Linked DNA regions of Oryctolagus cuniculus. The protein of the gene in region 3 interacts with the protein of the main gene of each other region in a pairwise test. Links are inferred from orthologs where the notes say so. Each region holds a gene or a part of one and is shown on either strand. Other genes may lie near its edges. The genes, in order: LDLRAD1, FURIN and MARCHF2.

Region 1 (10,432 bases), on a different chromosome or scaffold from region 3:
ACGTCAGACTTGACCAGGTTCCCTCCTTGGAGCACCCCCTAGCTGAGCTGGGGCAGGGGCTGGGCAGGGGGCAAACCCAGGACCCGGGACTGAGCGGTGCAGGTGGGGTTTGAGCCCCAGCTTAGTCCCCTTCCCGCTGCTTGGCCTCGGGCAGGTGACCTGAGCTCTCAGAGCCTCTGTTGCTTTGCCGGCCAGTGGGGACCATAGCGCCTCCCCACCTAACTGCGGTGGGGAGCAAATGGATGGGTACAGAGCCAGGAGTACCTCTCCTTGCTGAAACCCAGCCACACCTCGCAGCCGCCTGCCAGGGCCACGCTGCGTTCCTTGAAGCGGCCCTTGCGGTGCACCTGCCGGTGCCAGTTCAAGTGCAGTCAGCGCCCCTTCCCTCTGCGCCCAATTTTACTGCCTGAACAGCACTGATCTGTGTTCGTTCCACTGGGCCCCAAACTCCCCTGAAAAGTCTCATCAGCCACCGTAGGGGAATAGGAGACCCTCCCCTAGGCTGTGTCAAGGAGTTAAAGGAGAGAAATGGTGGATGAGCTGGGTGGGCCCCCCCAGACCCACATGTGCACACAGGTACTGAGTGGGGGTGAGAGCACCTTTGTGTCCTGCGCACGTTAACCCTGTCTTGGTCCTCAGACCAGCCTGGGTTGCTGGAGGGAGCTGGCTCTCAGGGGTGCTGGTGTTGTCACACACACACACACACACACACACACAGATGTGCATACAAATACTCCCACACAGTCAGGTATGTGCACTCACACACCCCTGCAAACGCTGGCACATGCATGTAGATGTGCATCGTTGCACAGACACACACGCAGACACAGGCACGTGGGTGTGTGACTGCAGCCCACACGTACCCCGCCCAGGCTGGGACAGACTGTGAATGGTACCTCCTCCCCCACCTCCTTCCCTTCCACCTGCCCTGCCTGGCTATGAAATGATCACTCAGAGAGGAGAAGGTGACCCTAGCCCCCAGCTTACGCCCTTCCATGGCTCCTGGACCACAACTCCCTCCCCAGGGCAGCCTTGGAGGCCCCGGGCTCCCAGCTCACCCACTGCCCCAGCCACTGGTGTCCACACGCCTTCCCTGCTGGTCCTCACGCCTCCTCCATCCCCGGGAACTGCTCGCATGCTGTTCCCTGTGCCTGAGTGGCTTGTCCTGACACTCCCTCCACCAACCACTCCCCTCTTTCCCCTCATGCTCAGTGCCCTGTGGCTTCTCCAAGGGCCATCCTGCCTCTGAGACTGGACCAGAGCCGCTGCTCCAGACTCAGCCCTCCCGCTAGCCTGGTCTGAGTGTGCTACTCAGAGGGACGTCATGGCTGGTAGCCACTGGGGCCAGGTTGCTGGAATGTACTGGACATGGCCCTGATCTCTGGGGTGGAGACAGGTGCATAGGTGGATGAGACCTCCCAGGGGGACTGGGGCAAGGTGAGAGCAAGTGTGGGGAGACAAGGCTCCTAATCCAACCTGGGGCTCAAGGAAGGCTTCCTGAAGGAGGACTCCAGGGCAGAGCCTCTCGATAAACTCGCATCACAGGTATGCAAATGGAGGCTCAGAGTCACACACAAGGGGACCTCAGAATACTCGCGGAAAAGTAAAAGATACATTTATTTTGGTGCAAATATTTTTTGAGCTCCATGCATGGTTTTTTCATCATGCACACTTTCCGCGAACTTTCTATAGCGCCCCCGTGTGTTTGTGGGTGTACAGGAGTCTGTCCAAAGTCACTTCGTGGAGAAGTCTGGCGGGCTCAGGACTCCTGCACCTGTGGCCCCTTGGCTCTCCCCTGCTGACACCCCCCCCCCCGCCTCCCGCCGCCGACCCCAGACCTGGCGTGCGTGGCGGGAGTCCAAGGATGATGGCCAGCGCGACGAGGGCGGCGAGAGTGGCCAGCAGGAGCAGCAGAGAGGCCGAGAGGCAGGCTCCCCGGCGCGAGCAGCAGAGGGGGCTGCAGTCTGCTGTGAGGGAGACACAGGCATGGGCACCAGGGCTGGGGTCCTGGGGTCCCCCAGCCCCGCACCTGACCCCTGTCGGCCGCCCCTCCCCCTCGCATGGGCTGGGGCAGGGACACCTTTGCACCGCTCTGTGCCACTGTCCGGAGCCACCCCTCGCCAGGTGCCTGGCCGTGGCCTGGGCCTCTGCTCCACGCCCCAGCCTCCCATCCACCTCCTCAGGACACAGGCAGGGGCAGGCACATGTGGCTCCAACCCCTAAGACAGGGCAGAAACCCCAAGTCCTTCAAGTTACTGATGAAGAACCTGCAGCTCGGCGGGGATGTCCACATCACTGCCTGCGGGGCTGGCACGCGAGTCCCTGTCTGAAGCCACAACCCATGCCCTCTCCACGCGTCTGGCTGCTTGTCCACTTGGGAGCCCGCCAGGCTGCCGGCTGCCTTCCAGCGGGGCTGCGGGGAGTCCCTTCACTTCCGTGTGCCTCAGTTTCCTCAGGTGGGAAGTGGGGCTCACAGGAGCTACCCCGGCATTTGCCGAGAGTCCGTGGTGTGGGAGGGGGTCTGCACGGAGCTGTGGCCCAGGCGCACCTGCCGTGTGCCGAGCTCCATTCTAACCACGGTGGAACAGCAGCGACTGCGGCCGCCTCTGCTCTTGCAGGCCTGTACTTTGCTCCTTGAATTCTCCCTTGCTTGCAAAACAAGGAAAGAAAGCTTCCCTGGGGACCCACTGGGCGCCCTGCTCTGCAGAGAGCACAGAAGTAGCCGTCACTGTGGCCCTTGCCCTTAGGAGCAAGGGGCGGGCACAGATGAGGGAGAGCGTGAGCTACGTCCTGTCCGGGTCTCAGGCCCGCGGACAAGGGGGCAGGAGCAGGTCTCACCGATGCCTGTGACAGCAGAGTCCAGGCCAGAGGCGGGCACACAGTAGGTGCTTTGTAAGTGCTTAGTGCACAGGCTGCCCCAGAGGTCAGGGAGACAAGGGCAGGCCCCCAGTTTGCATCCGCGTGGGTCATTTTCATTCAAACCCCTCCTAGTTCCCCGGAGCTGCCTCCAGGTGGACCCGTGCCCACGTGCTGCCAGCCCCAAGCGCCAGGTGTCAGCGCAGCGAAGAAGCATGGGCCAGGTGCCGGGGTAGGGGGGCTGGGCAGGTTGGGGAGGGCACAGTGAGGGTGTGGAAGGAGGAACGGCCTGTTGGGTGGCATGCAGCCAGGATTGGGGGACGGGGAACAGGAAGTGGCCTGGCGTGGGTGGAGCCCAGGATGGGTGTGCACGGGGAGAGGAGACAGTGGGCGATGCAGACGAATCTCAGTCGGAGCATCTGGCACAGCAGGCTAAGCTGTGTCCGCGAGGCTGCATCCCCTGTGTGCTCCCGGTCACGCCCCGGCTGCCTGGCTTCGGATCCAGCTCCCTGCCTGGGAAAGCAGTGGATACTGACTCAACTGCTTGGGTCTCTGCCACCACGTGGGAGACCGGGATGGAGTTCCCGCTCCGGGCTTTGGTCTGGCCCAGCCCTGGCCATTTACAGGGAAGATCTCCCTCTCTGTCTCTGTCTCTCTGTGCCTTTCAAATGAATACATAGATCTTTAAAGATAAGTTAGTAAAACAGATGATTCCCGCAGCCCGGGTCAGCGGCTCCCGGGTCTGTTGGCAAACACAGGTTCACTCAGGTAACCAGGGAGACGACGTGTCACTGGGCCAGCAGAGGCCGCTCCTCCAATACTTGTGTGGCCTGGCCAGCCGTGTGCAAGGTGTGGTCACAAGAGAGACTCGAGACATTGCACTGCTGAGCTGGACGCCCTCGGTGGCCAAGCCTCTCCCTGGAGCTGGAGCTGGAGCTAGAGGGGAGGGCCTCTGCTCCACACCCACCCCCACCACGAGCCCGCACCTGGAAATCCACAAACACCAGCCTGAAGCAACAAGGGCACTGGGGCGCTACCACCAGAAGGGCCGTGCTGCCCTACCTCGGAATTCGAGACCTGCACCCTCCGGCCCCCAAAGCTCCCTCCCAGCGTTATGACCTTGGCCTGGTTGCCTAACTTCATGGCTTCAGCTGTTCCTGCCCACAACAGGGCCCCCCTCTCAGAGGGGCCCTGAGGGTTGAAAAAGACCCTGTGGTGCCAGGTACACAGTAGGGGCTTGATCCTTTGCGGCTGGCAGCGTCATCTCTCCGGGGCTCTTTCCCCTTGCTGCAACGTGGGCCGAGACGGAACACATGGGAGACACCCCATCAGTGAAGGTACGGAGTGCTGTCCTAGCCACACAGTGAGTCTGCCGTGTTAGCAGGCGCTAAAGAAGCGTGTGATCCTGACTCACATCGTCCCTCAGAGGTAAAGAGAACTGCCCAGGTCACCCACTGCTGCTACCGGTGGGTACTGCGTGCACTGTCAGCACCTGAGCGATAGGCGGCGCTAGTAGGTGCTCAGTAAGTGACTGTGGACCTGGCTGGCCGGGACGCCGGGAGCAGAGGACACCACAGTGGGAGGCAGAGGTCTGGGCTCCCGCAGAGCCCCCAGCCCAGCTTCAGGCAGCCCCCCTGGGCGTGGGGAGTGCCCGCCTTTTACCTTCCCCTCTGGAGAGTGTTTTGGTCCTAGCAGCAGCGTTGCCAGTGCCATCTCCCTGCCAAGAGAACAGAGCAGGGGGTGTACTTGGGTAAGGGAGTCAGCAGCCTCAGGGGTCACGGACAGCTTCAGATGGAATCACTGGACCCTCCCAACGCGGGGTGCTAATCGCCCTAAGTCACCCTGACTGTGTCACAGTTACACACCTGTCCCCCGTGCCCCATGCTGGGAGCGCCATTTCTTCCACTGCCTGCCTGCCACAATCCGCCCCTCAAACCTGCCCAGGCAGCTCCCCAGCGAGGCTTTCCCTGATCTCCTAACATCATCCACTCCCCTGGCCCCTGTGCACCTGCACCCCGGCTTCCTCCCAGTTCATCATTGAACTGTCCAGTTGTGTCACGTGTGGGGCCTGATACCTGGGAGTGAGCCCCTGGGGCAGGGTGGGAGCTGACTCACCTCAGTGGCTGGGGCAGGTGCAGTATTAACCTGGCCCCTTTCCTGCCCTCACCTGAGTTTGCTTCCTGCATCAGGAGCTACGCAGGGCCGCACTTACCTGGGGGAAGACCTTGTTCATGTTTCCAGCTCTCAGCGTCCAGTCTCCAGGGATACAGGGCAGGTTCCCTCCCTTGTCACCAGGGCAGCCTGGAGGAGGGGCCTCGCCCTGGCCACGCCCTCCCAGGCAGAGGAAAGGAGAGCAGGGTCCTGATGCGCCAGGCCTCTCCCCACTCTGCAGTCCAAGAGCAACACGCCAAGGCTGCAATCCTCATTCCCCTCTTACAGACCGCAAGCAGAGCCGAGATTCGGAGAGGGAGACTGGCCCAAGTCACACAGCAGGTGAGAGGGGTGAGACTTAAGCCCAGCGATTTTGCAGGGCCTGCGGTGAGACTGGGAGCCGGCAGCCCTCAGCGTGTGAAGAGGCAGCCAGTCATGGCACAGGTCACTGTGTCAGTGGCCAATAAGAAGGGTCATTTAATTAAATAGATAATTCAGGGCTGGTGCTTTGGCATAGTAGGTAAAGTGGTCGCCTGTGGCATCCCACATGGGCACCGGTTTGAGTCCTGGCTGCTCCACTTCCAGTCCAGCTCTCTGCTATGGCCTGGGAAAGCAGCAGAGGATGACCCAAGTCCTAGGGCTCCTGTACCCACATGGGAGACCCGGAGGAGGCTCCTGGCTTCGGATCACCACAGCTCTGGCTGTGGGGGACATTTGGGGAGTGAACCAGCGGATGGACAGTCTCTCTCTCTCTCACACACACATACTCTGCCTTTCAAGTAAATAAATAAATCTTTTAAAAAGAATATGCATTTCCCACTAAATTATAAAGCAACTGTAATTTTTCATCATTTTCTTTAAAAATGTGGCAGGGGCTTTTCCCATTTGTGGCTGAGATGAAGCTCAACCCTTCTGTGGCTGAAGGAGGCATTGCAATGCAGGAAGGCCGAGTCTCCCCCGTCCGGGAGAGCTGAGACAGAAGCTCAAGGTGTGCTCCACGCCCGTGTGAAAGGAGGCGCAGTGCGAGAGGTGCGAGGACACCGTGAGGGCCGGCAGATGGGCAGCATGGCCCGGGGCTACTGGAAAAAATCTGCCATCCACACTGAACAGGTGCGGCGGGAGAGGCCACAGGCACACCTGTCCTTGTGGCAGTCATCCAACAGGGTGGTTCCTGCTGGCTTGAAACTGGACAAAGACCACAAAAAAGATCCTTTTTTTTTCTTTCTACCCCCTCCGACCTCTGAGTGTCACAGGTCCCAGGGAGCACAGTGTCCTCAGGAGTGGTCAGAGCCCAGCGCTGGACGTCAAACAGGTCCCCAGGTGCAGCCTCTCAGGAACCCGGCCCAGGAGGAAGCCACCCCTCCCCTGCCCTGCGGCACAGAGCCACCAGGAGGCAGCCTCTTTTGTTCTTACCTGGACAGGTGGCAGAGGTGGCCCTGGCGGAATCACCGGGATGGCGCTGGCAGTGGGCGGCCTCTCAGCTTGAAAGCACGCTCTTTGCACAGCACGTAAAAGGATCCTGGAGCGCAAAGCCAGGTCTCACCGAGTCTGACAGGGGAAGGGCAAATGTGAGGAAGCAGCACTCAGGAAGATGCCAGAGTAAAGTAATCTTAGAGACAACTTTCACTTAAAACTGCTAAAACAAAACAAGCACACGAAACGTGGCGGGGCAGGCGTTGGCCTAGTGGTTAGGACACCTGCGTCCCGTCTCAGAGTACCTGGTCTTGAGTCCTAGCTCCACTCCCTTCCAGCTTCCCACTAGTGCCCACCTTGGGAGGCAGCAGGTGGAGGTGGCTCAAGTGCTTAGGTCCTGCCACCCACGTGGGAGACTGGGATGGAGTTCCTGGCTCTTGGTTTCAGCTCAGTCCAGTTTCAGCTGTTACAGGCATTTGGGGAATGAATCAGCAGATGGGAGATCTCTCCTGTCTGTCTCTATGTGTCTCTTTGCCTCTCAAATAAATAAATAAAATTAAAATATGGCAAAGTGCATTCTAGTTTTCTCTGAGACAGTGCTGGGGGTGGGGATGAGGCAGGGGCAGGTTGTTGGCTCTAGTGATCCCTTACTAAAGATTTATTTCGGCCGGCGCCGTGGCTAATCCTCCACCTAGCGGCGCCGGCACACCAGGTTCTAGTCCTGGTCGGGGTGCCGGATTCTGTCCCGGTTGCCCCTCTTCCAGGCCTGCTCTCTGCTGTGGCCCAAGAGTGCAGTGGAGGATGGCCCAAGTCCTAGGGCCCTGCACCCCATGGGAGACCAGGATAAGTACCTGGCTCCTGCCATTGAATCAGCGCAGTGCGCCGCCCGCAGCGCGCCAGCCACAGCGGCCATTGGAGGGTGAACCAACGGCAAAGGAAGACCTTTCTCTCTGTCTCTCTCTCTCACTGTCCACTCTGCCTGTCAAAAATAAAAAAAATTAAAATTAAAAAAAAGATTTATTTTGCTTATTTGAAAGGCAGAGTGACAGAGAAAGAGAGAAAGAGAGAGAGAGTGAGAGAGAGAGAGAGCTTTTCCCTCTGCCAGTTCACTCCCCAAATAGCCACCATGGCTGGGTGGGCCAGGACAAAGCCAGGAGCCAGGAGCTTTTTCCAGGTCTCCTAAGTGAGTGCAGGGGCCCAAATACTTGGGCCATCTTCTGCTGTTTTCCCAGGTGCATCAGCAGGGAGCTGGACTGGAAATGGAGCAGCCAGGACTGGGAACTGCTGTTGGTGCTGCAATGGGATGCCGGCATTGCAGGCGGTGGCCTAACCTGCTGCACCACAGCAGCAGCCTCCCCCCAGCGACCCATCTGTCTACCCACTTGCAGTCTCCCCAGCAGCCTAGCTCCCTGCTAGGAAGACCATCGTCCCAGAAGCGTTTCACTCTGGACCAGAGCCCAGACCAAGGGAGAAGGGGAGGTGTCCTCCTCCAGAAACCAGCCCAGGGGTTCTAGGCTGGGGTCCCCTGGAAGCCTGCCTCTGATGCCCCTAGATTGCTCACCTATGGCCAGCCGTTTCTTTTGCACTGGGAAATAAAACGCCCACTCCCTGGGAACAAGGGTGAGGAGGGCAGACATAGGGGCAGCCCTCAGGAAGCGGGGAGCTACAGAGAAACAGCTGAGCCCCGCACCAGGAAAACGGGGTTTGGTCAGGCCCTGCAGCCGGCTCTCACGTGGGCAAGCAACCCCCCTTCCCGGGCCTCAGTGCCTGCTTCCACTCCCTAGGAGACAGACTAGACGAAGGGTGCGTTTCAACTTAGGGCTCCCAGGAGTCAGACCCTAGGACAGGACTTGAGGGCAAGTGGATTTCACTGGGGCGGAAGCATGCTTAAAACCTTCCAACACCTCTCTGCTGGACTCAGAATCCAGCGCAGGTCTAGTAAAGCCCATTATTACCTGACGCATCTCGCCCCATCTATTACGGTGCTTTTGTAGGCTGTAGCTCAGCTAACTGAACCATGCGCAGTCCTGGACTCGCTGGCCTCAGTCTTTATGCATCCCGTCTCCACTGCCCCAACGCTGCTCCCTACACCCCGCTTGCCTCCGCCTCCAGGTTTAAGCCTGGCTGTTCCTTTCAGAAGTTTAGGCTCCTCCTATGTGCCCATCTTGCCATAGCACTTACCACAGTAGTTGTCCCTCTCATTGGACTCTGAGCAATTGGAGCCTACTTTCCCTCAGGGTTGGCAAGTGGTTGTTGAACAGGTAAACTAGGGTCTCCAGGCAGAAATGGCCTTCGTGTGGTGGTGCAAATAACTAGAAACCTCGAGATCCATGATTCCCAATATATGGTCTTTTTTTTTTTTTTAAAGATGTATTTATTCATTTGAGAGTTACAGAGAGCGGTCTTCCATCTGCTAGTTCACTCCCCAAATGGCAGCAATGGCCAGGCTGAAGCCAGGAGCCAGCTCTATCCGTCTCCCATGTGGGTGCAGGGGCCCAAGCATTTGGGCCACCCTCTGCTGCTTTTCCCAGGCCATTAGCAAGGAGCTGGAACGGAAGTGGAGCAGCCAGGTCTTGAACCCTGGCCCATATGGGATGCCAGCAGCATAGGTGGAGTCTTAATCCACTAAGGCACAGTGCCAGCCCCACAATATGTGGTCTTGATACTTAACGGTCCACAAAAATTACAAAGGAGCTATTTATGGATTAAAAAAATCTTCATAGAAATGACTCATTTATCTAAGTTGAAGGCAAATAACAAATGGTGGATTGTTTCTTTTTGGCTTGAATATGACTCAGAGTAACAAGGTTTTATGTTTATGTGATCAATAGCAGACTGATGCATCACTTGTTTCTGAGACAACACTGAAACCAGATAATCTGGTAACCTTTTTTTTTTTTTTTTTTTTAATTTGAAAGAGTTACAGAGAGAGGTCTTCCATCCACTGGTTCGCTCCCCAAATGGCTGCAATGGCCAGAGCTGAAGCCAGGAGCTTCTTTCGGGTCTCCCACGCGGGTGCAGGGACCTAAGGACTTGGGCCATCCTCTACTTCCTTCCCAGGCCATAGCAGAGAGCTGGATCAGAAGAGGAGCAGCTGGGACTAGAATCAGCACCTATATGGGAGGCTGGCACTGCAGGCTGAGGCTTTAACCTACTGTGCCACAGTGCCAGCCCCAGTAACTTCTGATTTACCAAAAAATTTATCAGATAAAAGGTGCCACACAGTTTTGTTAAAAGATTTGGAACCCAGGCCTAGGATCATTCATCGTGGTAATGACTATTTTCTAATTGTCTGCATGCGTGTCTCTCAGCTGAGGGACCCTGAAGCAAGGACTCCAGGAGTGGGGTAGGTGTGAACCAGAGGCCTGTGGTGTTGAGAACTGGCCTAGTGAAGACTCTCCAGATGTCTCTTCCTGGTGGAAGCAAGGAGCCAATAATTTGGGCCCACCCAAGTCACAACTGCTACTTTAAGGAGTGGCCTGGAGGCTGTTTTATTGTTTTGATTGAATTTTCAAGATCAGAAACATTTTTATGTTGCATACTTATGGGGGTTAATTTTCTTTTTCGTTTTTTGGAAAGTGAAACCCAGGGGCTAGTGCTGTGGTGTAGCAGATTAAGCTGCCACCTACAGTGCCCGCATCCCATATGGGCACAGGTTTGAGTCCCAGCTGCTCCACTTCTAATCCAGCTCCCTGCTAATGTGTCTGGGAAAGTAATGCAAGATGGCCCAAGTACTTGGGCCCCTGCACCCATGTGGGAGACCCGAATGAAGCTCTTAGCTCTGACTTCACCCAGCCCTGGCCACTGTGGCCATTAGGGGAATGATCTAATTCTTTGAATAAATAAATGCTGTGGCCCGGGAGTGCAGTGGAGGATGGCCCAGGTGCTTGGGCCCTGCACCCCATGGGAGACCAGGAAAAGCACCTGGCTCCTGGCTCCTGCCATCGGATCAGCGCGGTGCGCCGGCCGCAGCGCGCCGGCCGCGGCGGCCATTGGAGGGTGAACCAACGGC
Region 2 (3,600 bases), on a different chromosome or scaffold from region 3:
CCGTCACCTCGCCATCCAGCATGCGCACCCCTGGCCGCGGAGGGGCGGGAAGAGGGTGCTGCGTGGGTCTGGCTGCCAGGAGCACCCGGGGGACGGCCCGGGAGGGCCGAGGCGGATGCCGGGAAACCTGTCTGCCTCTGCCCCCGGCCACACGACAGGACTACAGGGCGCTTCTGGAGCACGGCCACCGCAGCCTGCCCCCGGAGGACTTGGGGAGACGCCGCTAAGTGTCCACCCTCCCCCCCCACCGCCACCAGCCCCTGTCTAGCTCTGAGTCCCCAAGAGCCCTCTTCAGAGTGTCTTCCAGGTCACAAGTGTCCACCACGGGGAAAGGCAGGCAGGGCCAGATGGGAAGTGGCAGGGAAGGGTCCTACGGGAAGGGTCCGCCCACCTGGCAGAGGCCACACCCACCTCCAATGCGGGCATTATAGGCCACGCCCACACCGCAAACACCGTTGTTAGCCACTGCAGCCACTTCGCCTGCGCACCGCGTGCCGTGCCTGCCAGGGTCAAGAGCACGGTGTAAGTGGGGTAAGCAGGTGCAGCCAGAGGAGCAGGAAGAAACCACACACATAGGGCAGCACCATGACCACCGCCCCGCACGTGTGCACGGCCCCGCCTCTCCACTCCGACCAAACCCGTGGAAAAAGCCTGCAGCCTCTTGGGTGGGGCCCGCCTGCACCCTCGGGGAAAGAGGGGAGGCTGAGGACAGGCGCCTCAGCTTCTTACCTATTATCGTTCATCTGTGTGTACCGGGGCTGGGGGTCAGGGTCCTGGTCATTGACATCGAAACTGGCCCCAGGATCCTGGGAAGCACGAGGCTGTGGTCAGGAGCCCGCTGGCCACACTGGCAATGGGACAGCCCCTGCCCGCCTATCACTGCGCCACCGCCTCCCTCCCCCGCCTCCTCACATAATTGCCTGCCAAATCCGGGTGGTTCTTCTCAATGCCGTCGTCCAGGATGGAGACCACGATGCCGTGCCCCGTGTAGCCCTGGGCCCAGGCCTCCTTCACGTTCAGGTCCCGCTGAGTGACACCAGACTGCAGAGACACCCGCCCCCGGCCGTTAGGGGAGGTGGCTGCTCGGACGAGGGTGGGCTGTCGTGGGTGTCCCTTCATCACCCCCAAATCTCTCCACCACCCCAGGGCGGGGGGCAACCTCCAGGCTCAGCAGGATGGGCTGGGGAGAGACTGCCCGGCAGCAGCAAAGCCAAAGAATCGGACAGAGCCTCGAAGTCGGCCTCACGCTCCCCACGGGAGCTCCCGGACGGAGGAGCGGCACCCACAGAGGCAGCGTACCAGGTACCACTGCTGGGGGAACTTGGGGTCCGTGGGCTCCTGGTACACATCCCGTTTGCTCCGTCGCTTTGCTACCTGCTGCTCCAGCCACTGTACCTGGGTGGGAGGGAAGGAGAGAGAGTACGGGTGGGTGGGGGCGGAGGAAGCGAGAGGGAAGCGGAGGGAGGCGGCAGGAAGCATCAGGGCCACACTCACTTGAGGCTCCCTCTGCAGCCGGCTGTGCCGCAGGCGGTGAGGCGACAGCGACCGCTTTGTCACTGCTCGGTGCCAGAAGTGGTAATAGTCGCCGAAGATCTGCAGGAGAGCAGGGAGACTGAGCTGGGCTTTCCATCTGTCAGTCCCCGGGGAGGCGGGGGACGGGGGTGGACAGCGGCTCAGCAAGAACACACACAGGGGACCAGCAGGGACCTGCTGCTAAAGCCACGGCTCCCGCCCCACTGGCTGCCCGTACGCCCCAGCAAACCGGCCTGACAGTTCCTGGAGGAACACCCACCTGGCCTAGGTTGAGGAATCCATGCTTCCGCGCCACACCGTCAGCCACCGCCAGGCCCCCAGGGATGCGCACGGCCCACGTGTTGGTGAAGACCCTCTGGCTACAGGCATTGGCTGCCAGCAGGACCAGGGCTCCTGCTGTGGCTAGCACCCATAGCAACCAGGGCCTCAGCTCCATGGAGGGGGCAGGTGGCTGGGACCCCGGAGCACCCGTCTCCTCGGCCTGGTCACAAGGCCTCTGCTTCCCCGTGCCTGCTCGCTGCCTGTGGCCCGGGGCTGACTGGTGGGGGCATGGGGCCGAGGTGGGCAGGGCTAGGATGGGAGGAGGGCGGCTGCAGGCTCTGGAAGGAACGAGAGAGGGAAGGGGGGGAAGTCAGCCCCTCCCTGGCATGGAGGGAGGGAAGATGCCCTCCCCACCCCTCGGCTCAGCCCAGGCCTGGAAGGGGCGCTGGAGGAAGGGGGCCAAAAAAGGAGAATGTCCCAGAAGAAGTTTGGACCCGCCCCCTTGTCAGCCGGAAGTAGGGACAGATGGATTCCCCATGGCGCCCCACCCCCAGCAAGTGTGACACTGAGAATGGGACGAAGCACATCAAGGCTCCAGTCACTCAAAATCAGAAATGACAAACGAGTCCTTGCCGTCACCAAGGAAAACGGGACACGCGACCGAGCAGGACGGACACAGCATCTCACCTGGTTTTTAAATACCAGGTGAACGACGCACATTTCTACAGCACCCAAAACAAAATCTGGGGGGGACACACGCTAAAACGTTCACAATGGTCCCTGCGGGATGGCGACTGAAATTCCGAGGACCTGCTACGGTCTTCCCTGTGCATTGTATGCCCTCCACATCCCCCAGGGGCTTTCCATAAAGGAAGAAAACATCGCTGTTTTAAAGTTATTTTAAAGAAACATCATTTGCACAACTCACTGGGGTGCCTGGTTCAACAGAACAGATTCAGCCACCGGGGGGCGTTACTGGCAAAGACCACAGCCCCCGGGAGGGAAGTGCGAGCGACCCTGGCTGGGATGGGGCTTGGGGCCCCCCCAGCTCTGAGTACAGGAGGGTCACAGAAGCTGCACCTCCTGTGGCAACTCAGACGGCGGCCGCTGGCAGAGCCGGGCGCCCAAGCTCTTTCTACTGTTTCCTGGGGAACGCAGGGGCCTGGGGGCCCCCTGACTGCCCCCTTGCGTGCTCCACGCCCACCAGCCTTGCGTAACCCGAGCCCGGGCAGCCAGGGCAAACAGTGGCTGCTGAGCCAGGAGAGCCAAGGTGAGGCTGAATCAATAGTCCGCCTGTTGTTTTCCCTCCTTCGGCAAACAGACGCCGGGACCTCTGTCCACAGGGCCACATAACTGTCCCCAAAAACCAAGCCCCTGGGCTAGGGGAGAGTTGGCTCCCCAGGGTACCACTTCTAAGCAGCTCTGCCGGACAGGCGGGGGAGCTGGGAGAGCAGGCTCGCCAGGGGAACCCCCATCCCACCCCCACCCCCACCCCCCCTTCTCCAAGGGCCTCCCTGGCTGCGGCACTCCCACCCTGCAGGCGGGGGGGGGGGGGGGATGCCACACGCAGTTCCTAGAGTATTTTCAGTTTATACCAAAATAACCTGACAGCTGATGGCAGGAGATATCCACAGCACAGCTCCTCCAGGCACCCACGGGCAGAGTCCACAGGGCTTCCTGGCTGGCCTGGGAGCCACAGCCCTGGGGATGGCTGGTTAAAGCCTGTCTGAGCAAAGACTGGACAGCCCACTGCCCCGGCCCTGGGAGCCACGGGACCCCACACCTCTCAACTAACAGAGGACATGG
Region 3 (10,402 bases):
CCCGTATCTTCAAGCGCACGTGCTGGTGGGTCCTTCTCCACTCGGAGTAGAGCTGGCAGTGGTAGCGGAAGGAGACCTGCGGGGCAGCACTGCAGTGGGTGGGAAGGCGCGGGCAGGCACGGGGGTCCAAACTAGGGCAGGGCTCCTGCTTCCAGAAGCAGAGCCAGTATGCGGCCGCGTCCTGCACGCACTGAGCCCGCGTACATGCACCGTGAGAGGCCACTCCCCCCACTCCACCACCGCCAACTTGCTCTCTATCTCCTGGTGGGAATGCAGCCATTCGACCTCTTGGCAGGGGTTAACTGTCAGTTCACACCACTGCCTAAACTTGGAAGCCACCAAGATGCCCCTCAGGAGGTAAACAGATAGTGGTACAGCCAGACAATGGAATATTACTCAGCCCTAAAAAAGAAATGGTGTCCGGGGGTGGCATTTGGTGATACTTAAAGACTCTATTTGGGGGGCCAGCGCTGTGGCATAGCAGGTAAAGCTGCCGCCTGCAGTGCCGGCACCCCATATGGGCGCCGGTTCCAGTGCCAGCTGCTCCACTTCTGATACAACTCTCTGCTATGGGAAAGCAGTGGAGGATGGCCCAAGTCCTTGGGCCCCTGCACCTGCATGGGAGACCCAGAAGAAGCTCCTGGCCCTCGGCTTTGGATTGGCACAGCACAGCTCCAGCCATGGCAGCCAATTGGGGAGTGAACCAGCGGATGGAAGACCTCTCTCTCTCTCTCTCTCTATGCCTCTCCTTCTCCCGTGTAACTCTGACTTTCAAATAAATAAATAAATCTTTAAAAAAGACTATTTTGGATGCCCACATCCTGTATCAGAAGGTCCAGATTCAAGTCCAGGCTTCCTTCTGATTCTGACTTCCTGCTAATGCATCTGGGAAAAGCGGCAGAGGATGGCCCAAGTGCTTGGGCCCCTGCCATCTACCTGGGAGACCTGGAAGAAGCTCCTGGCTAAGTGGCTCCATTGCAGCCACTTAGGGAGTGAGCCAGCAGATGGAAGTTCTCTCCCTCTCTAACTTTTGTAACTCTTTCAAATAAATAAATAAATCTTTGGAAAAAAAAAATGATGGAGCCAGTAAAAGACCAGTGGTTGTCAGGGGTTAGGGGAACAAGGGACGAAGAGGTGGAGCACAGAGGATCCCGAGAGCATGGAGCCACTCTGTGTGATGCAGCGATGCTGGACGGGTATCTCACACACTTGCCCAAACCCAGGGGATCCAGCGCCCCAGGATGGAGGAGGAAGTGTAATGGGAGCTGTGGACGCTAGGTAACAATAATCTGTACTTGAAGGCTCACTGCTGTAACAAATGTAACCACTCGGGGGGATGGGGAGAGGTTTGATGGTGGCAGAGGCTGTGACGGCAGGAGACCATCCAGGGGAACTCTCTGCTTTCTACCCAATTTCTCATGAGCCAAATAGAGTGTTCTTTAACAAATAAATAAAGAAAAATAACCTCAGTGGCTCCTATCCCTTGACCAAGCATTCCTAAGAAACAATGACACAGGCAAGCCCCCGAAGACTGTTCATCATGGCCAAAAAAACACAGGGGGAGGTGGGAGTTGGGGAAAATAATACATTGGAAAGAATCCTAGTGTCTATCAGAAAGGATTGGTAAAATAAATATGGACACCCAGACGAATGAATGACTGTTGGGCGGCTGCCTGGTGTTTTGTTTTGTTTTTTCAAATGACACCAGCAAAGTGAAAACAAGCAGGCTGCAAAATAGTACTTGTGGCTCCATCCTCTGTATATTAAAACACACATGCGAAACTTCCCAAGTTATTCTAGAATCCAGGTTTGTGCCAGTTTTGCAAATAAATTCTATTCTAAGTTCTACCTCAAAAAAATAAACACATACACACACACACATGTGCTGTCAGAGGCACTGTCAGATACATTCCCCCAACAGGTGGAAAACAGGGGCACTTTTTCTCTCTGAGCCACAGTTCTAATGCCTACAATGAACCTGGAACAACAAACACCACCCACCTCAGTCACTCTCACTGTCACTGTCATTGTGTGCATCTCTTTCAGCCTCAATTGCTTCCTTTCTCACTCTTTTGGTCGGTCTGTCTGTCTCTCTCTCTCTCTTTCTCGCTGTCATTCAGTTTTCTTTTTTAAAGCTGTATTTATTTACTTGAAAGGCAGAAATAAAGAGAGAGAGAGAGAGAGAGAGAGAGAGAGAGAGAGAGAGAGGTCTTCCATCCGCTGGTTCACTTCCTAAATGGCCTCAATGGCCAGGGCTGGGCCTGGCTAAAGCCAGGAGCCAGGAGCCAGGAGCTTCTTCCAGGTCTCCCACATGGATGCAGGGGTCCAAGGACTTGGTCTATCCTTTGCTGTTTTTCCAGCCATTTGCAGGGAGCTGGATCAGAAAAGGAGCAGCCAGGACTCGACCCGGCACCCATATGGGATGCCAGTGTGGCAGGCGGAGGCTTATCCTTCTCCACCACAGTGCCAGCCCCACTTGGTTTCCTAATCAAAATCTCTCTACCCTCCAAGTCTTTAATCAACCTCTGTGGCTCTTGTTTCTCTTCCTATTTTCAATGTCTTAATCAAAATCTCTCTCCCTCTCTCTCTCTATCTCTCTCTCTCTCTCTCTCTCTCTCACACACACACACACACACACATCTTGCTTGTCACCTCTTCTTTTGGTCTCAGTCTCTCTCTTCTTGCTCTCCTAGTCCATTTCTTTTTTGTTTGTTTGTTTGTCTTGGGTTTTTTGGTTTTTTTTTTTCTAGTCCATTTCTTGGTATCTACCTCTCTCGCTCAATTTCTTTTTTTAAAAAATTTTTCGTTATTATTTTTGAAAGACAAAGAGAGCCCCCATCTGCTGGTTTACTCCCCAGATGCTAAGGTGGGGCTGGGCCAAAGCTGGGAGCCAAGAGCTCAATCCTGGTTTCCCCTGAGGGCAGCAATAACCCAAGTACTGGAGCCACCACTGCTGCCTCCCAGAGTGCACGTGAGCAGGAAGCCGGAGCCAGGAGCCAGAGTCAGGTGCTGAACCCGAGTGCTCCACTGTGGGGTGTGGGCATCTAAAGGGGCATTTTACATGCTGGGCTAAGTATATGCCCTCTAATTTCTTATCTCCCTCCATCTCATCCTTTTCCGGTTTCTTTCTTTCTGTTGCTTTTCCTTCTCTCTGCCTCTCTCTCTTAGTGGACCCTGCACTCAGGACTGGAGATCAGAACCATGTACACTCAGAGCAGAAGGCTGAGGCCTGGCTCAGGGCTTCCCTGCACCAGGGCCAGGCTCAGAACCTGCAGCTTCACAAAACACAGGCTGAGGCCACACGCAAGGGACAGCCACCAAAGTCACTGACCACACCCCCGGCCCGGCGGTGACTCACCAGGGTCCAGAGGACGTAGATGGTGAAGAGGGCGATGGTGAGGGCGATGAGCCCCACGGCCTCCAGCCGGCTATGCAGCCGGAGATGGTCCTGGGCCCCGCGCAGGCATAGCCAGCCCGAGATGGCGGCCAGCGGCGTGATGAACAGGAAGCACACCATGTCGCAGCATAGCGTCCGCTTCTCTGTCCGTGGTCCTGGGTCCTTCAGCCACTGCAGGGAGAGAAGCGCAGCAGGCTACAGGGGAGTGGAAGGGCAGTGCCTCCAGGCCTGGGTCTCCTTCCACCCTTTCCTTCTTCCAAACGCTTACTGAGCCTCGATGAGCCAGGCCCTACTGGGTGCTGGGACATGTGCCCCCCCTTTTACAGGTGAGGCAAACTGAGGCACAGAGGAATTCATCGACACAAATCCACATAGCTAGCACATATTATAGCATCCCTAACATAAAAAGCTGAGGTCCAAAATGCTTCCAGATCTTGAACAAGTGGAAAATGCCACACTGCGGAACTTTGCTTCCTGCACCGTCATGGAAAAAAAAATGTATAAAGTGACTGTCAACCTGTCTATGCCAGAAGGTGTACATGAAACACAGCATCTCATCTTCAGACTTGAATTCCTCCTGACCCCACAACATAGCTCATTCTGTACGTGCAGAGGTTCCAAAATTAAAAAAAAAAAATCCACAAAGCAGATGATGGGCAACGGAAATGAGCCTGGCTCACAGAGTCCTAGTGGATAGGACAGAAAGGGTCCCTGCTCTCTCATGCTGGGGGGCAAAGGAAAAGGGGTGGGGGGTCGGGGAGGGGAAAACAAGCTGGAGGAGGTAATGTCAAGGAGAATGGAATGAGCAGAAAGAGCTGATGAAGAAGGGAGGAGGGAACGGTGCTCCAGGCTGCAGAATAGCAGGTGCAAAGGCCCTGAGGCAGGAGTGGGAGGCCAAGATAAGGTGCAGTAGGCAGGAGGCCCATGCAGTTGGAGAGCAAGGACCAAGTGCAGGGTGGGAAGGGGTGCGGGCAGGGCCTGGGTCTCGCTCCCACAATTCTCCCCAGAGCTGGGCTCCTGGGTGGATCAGAGGCTTACTCAGGGGCCCACGGTCCCCGGGGCTCTTCACTGTGGCCCTGTCTACTATGGGGCAGCATTCCCCAGCCTCAGGGATGGACTCTGCTCCCCATACTTGTCACAAACCAATGACATCCGCCATACAGTTCTGAGTCACCCTAGGCCAGGCTGGGCAGGGAGAAGCCTGGTGCCTCAGGGGCCCAGTGGCCACCTGCGGATGCCCTGTCCCCACCCTGATCATCATACTTGGGCTAAAGTCCAAACTCCAGGTGTGACTGCTCCTACCCCCTTCAGGGGTGCTCTCCTCCTCTCTTTTAACTTGATCATTTGCTCAAAGCCATTCAGGCTTTGTCAAGAACACAGAGCTCTCCCAGACCTCAGGGCCTTTGCACGTGCTGTGTCATCTGCCAGGCTGCCCATCCTCAGCTTCTCTGCATGGCTGGCTCCCATTCACCCCTCAGGTCTCCTACCCAGGCCTTGCCTGACACCTTTCCCCCTGCCCCCTGTACTCCCCCTCGCCCCCCTCCCCTCTGCCCACCCCAACCTTGGGCTCCCCAGGTTTACCTCTGTGAGGGGCCGAGGCCGCTTCTCTACTGCAAATTCCGTGTGGCACAGCTCGCAGTAGCTGGTGTTGGACGAGGAAAGCCACTTCTCCAGGCAGCTCTTGTGCACGGCGCCCAGCGTGCCCGTGCAGCCGCACGGAGACAGTAGGCTCTCCCCATTCGCCCCCTCATGGCAGATCCGGCAGAAGGGACAGTCGCTGGACACAGAGACAGGAGCTGTGAGCCACCATCGGACCTCCCACCTGCACCCGCTCCACTATCCACTGAGTCTCAGGATCTCTGTTACGACCATGTTGCCACTATGTTGCGAACTCCTGCTCACCCTACAATGCCCAGCTCCAAATACCCCAGCCTTTGGGACTCCCACAAGCAGAATGATATGTTCCCTCCCCAGGGCCCCTGCAGCACCCTTCTAGGCCCAGGATGATCATCTCTTATACCTGCCTGCCCAACGTCCTCGTTATCTCTTTCCTGCAAAACCACCTCCAATTGTCCTGTGCAAACCATCCCACTCTTGGCTCAGTGTTCAAGGGCTAGGGCAGAACCGATGACCTCTGACAACCTTGGGCCTGACCAATCAGAGCATCACACACCCCTGATGTCACGGGGACCAACTCAGGAAAAGGCCTGTGGTACAATCAGAACCAACAGGAACTGGGGCTAGCGTTGTAGCGTAGTAGGTTAAACTACTGCCGTGGCAACATCCCATATGAATCCAGCCACACCTGAAGGCCATGCTGGCCGAGAAAACTGTGCTTCCAGGGAGAACTGCTCGCTGGTTCTGCATCTGCAGAAAGCTGCCTCAGGAAAGCCGCCAGCCCCCCGCCCCAGTCTCTGGGGATGTTGAGTCCTTCCTGGGGCAGCTGCAGACGCAGGGGGAGTGGCCGCAGTGGGCTGTGAGGTTATCCAGCACGTGAGTCATTGCTCTCCGAGCATGTCTGCCCAGAAAACAGTTATGCTGGGAACACACAGAGGAGGGCAAGCGGGAGAGCTGTTCTCCAGATAATGTTGGCTTCCTCTCAGAGTTTTCTGTCCCTGTCTGGGACTCTCCTGCTGTAGGGGTGGGGAGGGCCTGGTGACCTCTCTCTGTTTTGTCCTGGCCCTGGGCTGCTAATTTCTCCCATGATGTCAAGAGAGCCATGCCCGGTCTCCTTCTAACCTCAGACCCTGATCCTAACACACATACACAAAAGTTAACAGGAAAGGAATTCCCTGCTCCGGAAACCACTCAGGGAAATGGAGTGACAAGAACCTTGAGGAAGAGCCCTTCTGGAGAGCTCTGCAGGAGCAAATTCAGAGACAGGAAGGGAAAAATTAAAAAAGGCAAAAGCAAGGCCTAATATTTATTGAGCATTTACTGTGTACTGGGCACTTAGGAGCCACCTTTGGATGCACTGGTTCCTAGAATGGGACCTCAGAAAAGTCACAGAACAATGGAATTAGAAGATAAGTTTAGGGCGATGTTGTGGTGCAAGGGGATTAAACCATTGCCTGAGATGCTGGCATCCCATATGAATGCTGGTTTGAGTCCCGGCTGTTCCACTTCCCATCCAGCCCCTGGCTAATGCCTCTGGGAAAGCAGTGGAAGATGGCCCAAGTCCTTGGGCCCCTGCATCCATGTGGGAGACCCAGATGCAGTCCCTGGCTCCTGGCTTTGGCCTGGCCCAGCATTGGCCGTTGCAGCCATCTGGGGAGTGGACCAGTGGATGGAAGATCTCTCTCTCTCTCTCTCTCTCTCTCTCTCTCTCTCTCTCTCTCTTTCTGTCTCTCCTTCTCTCTCTGGCACTCTGCCATTCAAACACATAAAATAAATCTCTTTTGTAAAGATAATTTTGGAGGTATTGGATGCAGCAGTTAAGCCACTGTTTGGGATGACCACATCCGCTGGCAGAGCGCCTGGTTTGAGTCTGGACTCCAGCTTCCTGCTAACATACATCCTGGGAGGCGGCAGGTAATGGCTCAAGCAGCTGGGTCCCTGCCAGCCACGTGGGAGATTTCAGAAGGAGTTGCTGGCTCCTGGCTTTGGCGTGACCCAGCCATGGCTGTTGTAAGCATTTGGGGAGTAAACAGTTAGGTAGCAAAATAGACTTCAGCCTATGTGTGTGAGAGGGGCCGGAGGACAAAAATAGGAATTTTTGTGTGGTCAGGCGAGGGAAGAAACGTAGGAGCAGCCTTGGGAGTGGACTGGCAGCTGCACCTCGGCAGTCTTCCCTTGGTCAGAACCCCCTTAGGTGGGTCCCAGCCCTCCCCTGGGGGCCTGTGCCATCCCAGAACACTGTGCTGATGAAGTCCCAAAAGGAACTGCACGCATCTACACCCAGGAAGCCCTCCAACCAGCAGCATCCCAGAAGGAGGCGGGGGGGGGGGGGGAGGAAACCTGTGCACCCAAACCTCTCTCTCTAGCTCAGTTCTTTGCTGAGATGCCCCTGGTCACTTACTACTCCTCTCTGTCTCACGTCTGAAATTCTGTTTTTTTGTTTGTTTGTTTGTTTTCTTTTTTTTTAACATTGATTTATGTATCTGAAAGTCAAGAGTCACAGAGAGAGACATATCTTCCATCCACTGGTTCACTCCCCAAATGGTCACAAGCCAGGAACTAAAATCTTCCTCTGGGTCTCCCACGTGGGTACAGGGCCCAAGCACTTGGGCCATCATCCGCTGCCCTCCCAGGCCATTAGCAGGGAGCTGGAGCAGAAATAGAGTGGTCAAGACACGCGCTGGCGCCCATAAGGGATGTTGATGTTGAAGTGGCAGCCTCACTAGCTATGCCATAACACTGACCCCTGAAATTCTTTTCTCGGACAATAGAAGAGCTCTCGCCATCTGTCTCTATCGCTCTGCCTTTCGAGTAGATAAAAATAAATATTTAAAAGATATGTTTATTTTGATGCAGAAAATTTTGAAATCTATGCATGGATTTTTTTGTAATATTTATTTTTCCATGGACCTTTTGAAGACCTCCTATTCATTTGCTCCCATTTAACAGGTGATGAAGCTGAAGTCCTGGGGAGGGACTTTCTGGGGCTGTGACCCAGAAAGTCTGCCCCCCAGGGCCTGAGCACCCCAGCAGGCAAAGCACACGAACAATGTGTATTGCTCAGGAGCTCAGGCTGGGGCCACAGTGCAAGGGACATGGGCGGGACATCAGCGCAGAGAGGGTATGGGCAGGATGTGCTCAGACCCTCCCATCCCCGCCCTGCAGGCTGCCCAGAGAATGTTCCAGAAAGAAGAGACAACATGAGCAATCAGAGCTCAGGAAAGAGGACAGCAGGGAGAACACCAGGAAATACTCCGAAAGGGCTGGGCAGAGAGCCAGAGGCTCGGAGTCCCCAGAGGCTGACCCGAGCCTGGGCCTTGGAGGACTGTCCTGCGCCTGGGAGATGCCTCCTGCGCCTTCTTCTTCAACCTCCGCAGCTTTAAGAGCCCCGAATTCTCCACCTAGCACAGTCTCTGCTGTGTGCCCTGAGGAATCAGTCTCCTTTGAGCAAATGGAAGATTTGGGGTGTTTTTTTAATGCTTATTTATTCATTTTTGCTTATTTGAAAGGTAGAGCGACAGAGAGAGATAGAAAGAGAAAGATAACCCATCTGCTGGTTCACTCCCCAAATGCATGCAACAGCCAGTGGCTGGGCCAGGCCAAAGCCAGGACCCAGGAACTCCAACCGTGTCTCCCACATACGTGGGCCATCACTGCTGCCTCCCAGGTACATCAGCAGGGAGCTGGATTGGAAGCAAGACAGGACTCGATCCCAGGCACTCTGATGTGGGATGTGGGATGTGGACTTCCCTACTGGCAGCTTAGCCTGCTGTGCCACAATTCCTGCCCTTGACTCTTATGATAGTGGAACCAGCCAAGGTGCTGGGTACAACTGGTGCCCCTGAGGCCTATTCCTGGGCCTCTCAGATGGCAGAGACTCACTAGGAGTTAGAGGTCAGCCTGTGTGGCCTCTGCCAAACCCAGCTCCTGGCAGTGGTGGGAGGAGCCCTATTTGCCCCTGGGGAGGCTGGAAGGAAGACCCCAACCCCGGAAGTTACCTCCAGATACATGGCAGCATTCACCCCATGCAGAGCTCTTCTGATCTGCCCTCTAGCCTGGGGAGGTTTGGGGCGAGATGTACCCAAAGAAAGGAAAAGAAGCAAGGAGACCCTTGGGCCGCTGAGCTGTGGGCAAAGAGGCTGAGGGACAGACCCAGGAGAGCCCATGGTCCCACCAGCTGCACCCTGATCGGACAGAACCCCAGCCACGGTCCCAGAGAAATGGCACAAATTGGCCGAGGACAGGAGAGAAAACAGCAGGACTCGCATAGGGGCCACTCTGCTGCCTGCTGCTGGCCTGGGTCCCTGAGGGCTGCAGGAAAGGCTGGCAGGGGCCCAGGGCGCAGCCTTTGCTCCGCTCAGCAACCCATACAGGTGTCGGCTTCCATCTGGGCTTTTGTTTTCCCAGATCTCAAAGAGGGGGCAAAGTGGGGACAAATAACTCACTCAGGGCTTCCCAGACACACAGCTACTCAGGAATCCCAAACAGAGAGACCCCAGTTACAGCCACCACGGCCTCCTCCCCACCTCCCAGCCCTCACAGCCCTGGCTGGGAGGCCCCTGGGTCCACCAGGGAACTCCTATGTCCCAACCTCCTTCAACCAGCACAGACCCCTTTCGGCCTTCAAGGGGGTCTGACGGAGATGCAGACACATGAGCCAGCACCTCAGAGGATGTCCAGAAGAACACCGGATATCATCTGGGCTCACACGAGTCTTCTTGGAGGCTAAGACACTGGGCAGATCTGTAGGGAGCAACAGCTCTCTCTCTCTCTCTCTCTCTCTCCCATCCTTGTATCTTCCTCTCTCTGTAAGTATGTCTTTCAAATAAATAAAATAAATCTTCAAAAACAATTAAAAAAAATTTTTTTAAATGCAGTGAATTAGCCTTGCAGTTAAGGATGCCCAAGTTGGCCGGTGCCGTGGCTCAAGAGGCTAATCCTCTGCCTACAGCGCCAGCACACCAGGTTCTAGTCCCGGTCGGGGCACCAGATTCTGTCCTGGTTGCCTCTCTTCCAGTGCAGCTCTCTGCTACGGCCTGGGAGTACAGTGGAGGATGGCCCAAGTGCTTGGGCCCTGCACCCGCACGGGAGACCAGGAGAGGCAAAAAAAAGGAGCCAGAGTTAGGTATATCTGATGCCGTACTTGGGCATCTTTTTTTTTTTTTTTTTGACAGAGTGGACAGTGAGAAAGACAGAGAGAAAGATCTTCCTTTTTTCCATTGGTTCACCCCCGCAGCGGCTGCTGCAGCCGGTGCGCTTGGCCAGCGCACCACACTGATCCGAAGCCTGGAGCCAGGTGCTTCTCCTGGTCTCCCATGCGGGTGCAGGGCCCAAGCACTTGGGCCATCCTCCACTGCTCTCCCGGGCCACAGTAGAGAGCTGGCCTGG

What was found.
Region 1: the proteins of MARCHF2 (region 3) and LDLRAD1 interact in binary tests that used the Homo sapiens proteins (3 or more experiments, as listed by UniProt). The two-hybrid records come from large-scale screens. The link is inferred for Oryctolagus cuniculus from reciprocal best matches to the Homo sapiens genes MARCHF2 and LDLRAD1.
Region 2: the proteins of MARCHF2 (region 3) and FURIN interact in a protein complementation assay, tested with the Homo sapiens proteins (2 studies listed by BioGRID). The link is inferred for Oryctolagus cuniculus from reciprocal best matches to the Homo sapiens genes MARCHF2 and FURIN.

Annotation. Positions count from the first base shown.
Region 1 is NC_091438.1:118,977,232-118,987,663, reverse strand, and holds the start of LDLRAD1 (low-density lipoprotein receptor class A domain-containing protein 1), read right to left. Parts: upstream 7,014-10,432; 5' UTR 5,090-7,013; coding exon 5,069-5,089; intron 4,574-5,068; coding exon 4,519-4,573; intron 1,968-4,518; coding exon 1,839-1,967; intron 1-1,838.
Region 2 is NC_091443.1:100,383,094-100,386,693, forward strand, and holds the start of FURIN (furin), read right to left. Parts: upstream 2,123-3,600; 5' UTR 1,970-2,122; coding exon 1,793-1,969; intron 1,594-1,792; coding exon 1,495-1,593; intron 1,396-1,494; coding exon 1,300-1,395; intron 1,042-1,299; coding exon 913-1,041; intron 807-912; coding exon 730-806; intron 501-729; coding exon 412-500; intron 31-411; coding exon 1-30. UniProt on the Homo sapiens protein: Ubiquitous endoprotease within constitutive secretory pathways capable of cleavage at the RX(K/R)R consensus motif. Mediates processing of TGFB1, an essential step in TGF-beta-1 activation.
Region 3 is NW_027208201.1:4,468,982-4,479,383, reverse strand, and holds part of MARCHF2 (E3 ubiquitin-protein ligase MARCHF2), read right to left. Parts: intron 5,175-10,402; coding exon 4,979-5,174; intron 3,593-4,978; coding exon 3,359-3,592; intron 77-3,358; coding exon 1-76. UniProt on the Homo sapiens protein: E3 ubiquitin-protein ligase that may mediate ubiquitination of TFRC and CD86, and promote their subsequent endocytosis and sorting to lysosomes via multivesicular bodies.